Bombyx mori: one gene and its partner. The protein of the gene in region 1 interacts with the protein of each later gene in a biochemical or structural test. Links are inferred from orthologs where the notes say so. Each region holds a gene or a part of one and is shown in the gene's direction. Other genes may lie near its edges.

Evidence for each region. The genes of interacting proteins can lie anywhere in the genome.
Region 2: of the proteins of ubiquitin-like modifier-activating enzyme 1 (region 1) and ubiquitin-conjugating enzyme E2 H, one has a biochemical effect on the other in vitro, tested with the Homo sapiens proteins (3 studies listed by BioGRID, with this or other methods). The link is inferred for Bombyx mori from reciprocal best matches to the Homo sapiens genes UBA1 and UBE2H.

What each region holds. Positions count from the first base shown.
Region 1 is NC_085114.1:15,610,872-15,613,382, forward strand, and holds part of ubiquitin-like modifier-activating enzyme 1, read left to right. Parts: intron 1-748; coding exon 749-924; intron 925-1,435; coding exon 1,436-1,657; intron 1,658-2,008; coding exon 2,009-2,260; intron 2,261-2,511. UniProt on the Homo sapiens protein: Catalyzes the first step in ubiquitin conjugation to mark cellular proteins for degradation through the ubiquitin-proteasome system.
Region 2 is NC_085133.1:418,426-421,706, forward strand, and holds part of ubiquitin-conjugating enzyme E2 H, read left to right. Parts: intron 1-31; coding exon 32-160; intron 161-1,229; coding exon 1,230-1,390; 3' UTR 1,391-3,281. UniProt on the Homo sapiens protein: Accepts ubiquitin from the E1 complex and catalyzes its covalent attachment to other proteins. E2 ubiquitin conjugating enzyme that transfers ubiquitin to MAEA, a core component of the CTLH E3 ubiquitin-protein ligase complex.

The sequences.
Region 1 (2,511 bases):
TTAAAAGGATTGATTGATTGACACGTGAGGAGAATGATAATTATTGTCATTCTCCTTATGTGCAAGACTATTCTGGAGTGAAAGGCTCCCATGGTCAACTGATATCTATTCTAGTCTTAATTTATATCACACACTGTATTTTTAATCTGCAAACAAATATTGTTACCATCCCTTGGAACTTGACAAAATTTTCTAGCATCAGTTATTCTGTAAATATGTTATGCTGTTTGGGAAATTGCAACATAAAGTAATAAGTAATTAAAAGTAAAAAGTAAGACTGACGTCGTTGGTCGTCGACTATCGCCTCGACGACCCGTCGGTCGGGCGTCCTCGGGGTGGCGCCGCGTGTCTGGTTGTAGTGTTGACCGCGGGAACCCCCCTACTCTGACCGGGTTTTGACCCCAGACGGAGATCGGACGCCAGGTGTAAGAGTGCAGGGGAGTCGTTTAGTGGGTGGGCCCGCGGTCTGCTCTCAACACCTGCAGATCGTTGAGTCTCACATACCCCGCGCGCCCCCTAGGCGCGGGGACCTCGTAGGAGGTTCGGCCCTCGGCCAGGAAAAAAAAAAAAAAAAAAGGGTTTCACACTCAACTTTATGGAACCTGTGTGCTCTCTTACATATATGGAACATAAATAATTCTGTAAACTCAAGATTGGTAATTTACTAATGAATAATAGTCAATATGAACTATCTGTATGAAGCTACACAAAATATTAGTATAGTATCATATGAAGTTTATCTCTTCAGGTGCTGGTGCTATCGGATGTGAATTATTAAAGAACTTTGCCATGATTGGTGTGGGTGCTGATGGAGGACAAATTACAGTCACGGATATGGACCTCATTGAGAAGTCTAACCTCAACAGGCAGTTCTTGTTTAGGCCTTATGATGTACAGAAACCGAAATCTAGTACTGCAGCTAATGTAAGTTGCTGGATTCGTAATGACATTTGAGATCACTTGTGTACTGCTATAGAGAGCACAAGAGTAGCCATCTACACAGGGTTTGCTTCGAGATTACTCCCTGAACCAGTGAATTTCAGTTTAGTTTCAAATTCAATGTATAAATGTTTTTGCTCGCCTAAGTTTTAATGTTTCCCTAGTTGGTTTCAGATATTACACAATATATATTTTTTTTACTTTATTGCTTATATGTGTGGACGAGCTCGCAGCCCACCTGGTGTTAAGTGGTTACTGGAGCTCATAGACATCTACAACGTAAATGCACCACCCACCTTGACATATAAGTTCTAAGTTCTTAGTATAGTTACAACGGCTGCCCCACCCTTCAAACCGAAACGCATTACTGCTTCACGGCAGAAATAGGCAGGGTGTTGGTACCTACGCGTGCGGAGACACAAGAGGTTCTACCACCAGTAACTATAAATATATACTGTAATACTCAAATACTTTTAATATATTTTTTTTGTCATAGGTAATTAAACGCATGAATCCAGCAGTAAATGTTTTGGCACAAGAAAACAGAGTTTGCCCTGAGACCGAGTCCGTCTACAATGATGCATTCTTTGAAGCATTGGATGGTGTAGCCAATGCACTCGACAATGTCGACGCCCGTATATACATGGACAGACGGTGTGTGTATTATAGAAAACCTTTATTGGAGAGTGGCACTCTTGGAACTAAAGGAAATACACAGGTTAGTAAAATCAAAAGCATTTGAGATACAATTTGAAATAACATGAAACGTTGAATAAAATTAATTGGTTAATGATCAAATATAAATTAGAACCCTAAGAGAAAATAATAGTTATGAATTGATTTAACGTTGTCTAGTACTTATACTGGAAACACAAAGATTTTTAAGTATCATTAACTATTCAAACTTGGTAAATTAAAAAAAAGTTGTTTTGATACTGATATCTGAATCTTCACAATCTTTTAAACATAAATCAATAATATTTCATAATATATAAGTAAAGAAAATATTAAGCAAGATATAATCATATCAAAAGAAATAACATTAATACATCAGTAATTTACGTTTTAGGTGGTTGTTCCATTCCTTACGGAATCTTACAGCTCATCCCAGGACCCTCCCGAGAAGAGTATTCCTATTTGTACGCTCAAGAACTTCCCGAATGCCATTGAACACACACTACAATGGGCTCGCGATGAATTCGAAGGTTTATTCCGTCAGGCTGCTGAGCATGCTGCCCAATACTTGCAGGACCCGAATTTCTTGGACCGCTGTCTTAAATTGCCTGGTACTCAGCCTTTGGATGCTATTGAGAGTGTGCGAGTAAGTGTATATAACATATTTTTTATTACTCGTAGTAAACATACTGTCTACCTAATAACCTGATCACTGCCCTTCAATACAGCTATGCAAGAGTAACGACTATATTAAAGTACTACGCCTTCTCTCATTCAATGTTTCCTAATATCAGTTAACATGCACAGACAAATTTTAGAATGAAAACCCTTCCAAAATGTTTTCCTGTTACTATGAAGTAAAAGGTTGTAGGGGAATGATACCCCGCCCTGCTTAGC
Region 2 (3,281 bases), on another chromosome or scaffold:
TAAGGTTCTTGATCTCGTCTGTGTGTTGCAGACTTATCGAATATATTTGAATCGTTTCTGCCGCAACTGCTCACCTACCCGAACCCGATCGACCCGCTGAACGGTGACGCGGCCGCCATGTACCTGCACAAGCCCGAGGAGTACAAGAAAAAAGTCTGTGGTGAGTTTCCTTACGACAGGAACAACTATAATATGGTCATATAGATCGGGACCACACTGCAGGGTGATGGCCAAGTCTTCATAAATCTTAATATCCACTTTTAACGTCACAGATGTGTCTTATCTCTTATCCAACACTCGGTCATAGCATCTGATAAGTGTAATAATATCTTGCTCGTTTTTATTTGAGAAAACAGTTTTCCTATTTCTGCCGCGATATTTGAAGGGTGAGATAGCAATTACTCACGCTGTCGTCTGGGATCTGACAATCGCTTAACACAAGCGAACCTACCCATGTTAAATATATAGGAGATCATCGTCTCCATCACTGCTGAGCAAAGAATGAACCTAAGTCGTCTAAATGTCCACATTGCATCACTTTAAAGTGGGTGGCGCATTTACGTTGTAGGTGTCTATGGGCTCCAGTAACCACTTAACACCAGTGTGCTTAGTGCGAGTTTTTTAACGTTCTGGATAGCGTAATAGTTAACCCTATTTTATATGCAGTTGGAACAGCGCCCCTAACGGCAAACGTAGGCAAACGATTCCATTCCATACAAATATGAGTTAACTTTTACGCTATCGAGAACGTTAAAAAACTCGCACTAAGCACACAGGCGGGCCATAGCTCGCCCACTCACCTAAGTAATTAAAACAAGGGTGCGTGTACTTGTGTACGCGCGTAAAAAGTTATACTATTTTTATTAAATTTATTTCTTTTTTTTTTAATATTAAATAATTAATAATAAATATTTAACGTTAATAATTTAATAATATTTAGTATGAATTATATTAAATAATAATTTTGTCATTTATATTACTAAAAAATGAATGCTAATAACACTTTTTTTACGAGTGTACATGCGCGAAAGTTCACCTGCGACTATATTCAGACTCGCCAAGTTACGTCGGTCGTATTGTAATGAGCGATTTAGTGAGCAACTTCATTTCTGTTAAATTTGTGTCACGGTGCGCGCGCATCGTAAAATTTCACTCTCATCAATTTTTCATAACGCGCCTAAAGTATAACTTCAAAAAAAAACCTCAACCGAAAACTTTCGGGTTCGCAGACTACGTTCGTAAGTTCGCCACAGAAGAAGCGTTGCTAGAGAAAGACGCGATAACAGGGGTCGGGGCCAGCGCCAACAAGGCGAGCAACGGCAACGACTCGGACTCGGAGTCCTCGATGAGCGACTTCAGCGAAGACGAGGCGCACGACATGGAGTTATAACACAGACTGGCCCGGACCGCAGCCCGCGCGAGGCCGCTCACCGCCACCGCTCTGTGAACGCGTACGAGAACAATAAAAACGTTCGTTGATTCGAATTCGAATTGTAACGGTTTTAGTTTTCGAATTTCGAACCCGGAAGTCGCACTTTTTGAAAGTATCGTTGAACAACCGTATCCGTTTTGGCTTGTTTCGTTTTGTATTCGAACGACAAGAGATTGAATATAATTGTTTCTTAAACTATTGAGATATTAAAACTATATATAATTGGTGTATTCAATTTTCAGTGGTCTATTAATTTTTTTCGTATCAAAATTCGTTTTGTTTCACTCTAATGTACTTACTCAATGTATTAATCCAATTACAATTTAAAATAATAATACTACATGACACCAAACAAAACACTAAAGCACTATAGTGAGATTAATGTTGTATCTGTATTTGAATAATAAAAATCGCTGCTACAGATAATATTAAGATAATGGGGTTGCCAATAAAAATATTTTTCCACACGCAGAGAGACAGCTTCAAAAAATATATATATTGTAAAAAATAATTAAGGATTCGATCGTTTTATGTAGAAAAGTTCAAAGTCACTCTCTTCTACGACTAAAGAAAAATTTATATTCATAGCGTTAATTCGGAAACGTAATTGTAATGAAATTGAACGTACATTGTTTTCTAAAATGAAAACGCCTACCGTGTTCACAAGTGCTCACAATTAGCAGTTGGCGGCTGAGTTTAGTGCTGCTCTGTAGTATAGGTACCCATAACAAGCGTCAGGGCTCCCATCAGGAAAACGTACTCGCACAGTTCCGCGTTGAACCATAAACTTGTTGCTTTATAAATGAAGGGCTGTAAATATCCTGGTAAAATTAATACCGACCGAAACGCGTTCGCAGGTGAGTTTGGTCACACAATGAATCTTGATAGGCAAATACGAACTTAATACTGAAGTACGTCTGCCGCGGACAGCTGTCAACATGAAGTCAACACAAAACCACTACGGCCTTTTAATCCTAAAAGGTACGTAAACTTTTGCCAGATCATCAGAAATATATAAATATATATTTTTTGGTTGGTTCTTTTCGGCATAACGCGGTCGGTGTGTAGCGATGTTCTTGTATTTTTATGGAATTGTAAAAACGGTAAACGGACCCTAGGATTGTTGGTGATTCGTCCTTAATAAACGAGGCTCGTGATGAAGCACGGCCAAGAGACCGGTCACGAGGTATGGTCCCGGGTGCTAACGACCAGAAAAGGGTGGCTCTTCTCCAGATACATCTTCCCCGTCATTCATGGTAGTGTCTTTACTGTCTTTTTTGTTGTACATTTATACTTTACCCGCATGGAATACACTGTACTTTAAGTGGCTCCAGCACTGGGTAAAAAGTGACTTGTGTTAACGCCCAATATTCAAACTATTTCCATCCCGATTATCGTTGTTTTTTTGTTGTATTTTTATACTTTACCATATCATTAAATAAATAGGTACCTGCCTGCAGGTCTGCCATAATCGTGTCACTGGACCAGAGCACCGGCTGTCTTTTTCATTAGGCCACTAGCCCTGTCTCATCTGCGATCCGGTCATAGGTCTCTGAACGCTTGGGGTTATTAGTCGATAGAGCTTCGATATAATTCGATATTTCGACTAAAAAAAATAAAATAAGAGTAATCAATTTAGAACGCCTCTTTTTTTTCGAATTTATGGACATGTTAAGTGTCGGTTAGCACTTTGGGAAGGTGCGAGTCTGTACCGTGTTTCGTTACGAGCGAGTAGAATACGCTTTAAGGTTAGAAGCAATACGACAGTCGAAGTGTTCACGTTAAATCAGAGAATCTTATTGTAAAATGGAGAAATTGTAATATTAGATATTTAGGATTTTAAAGGTTT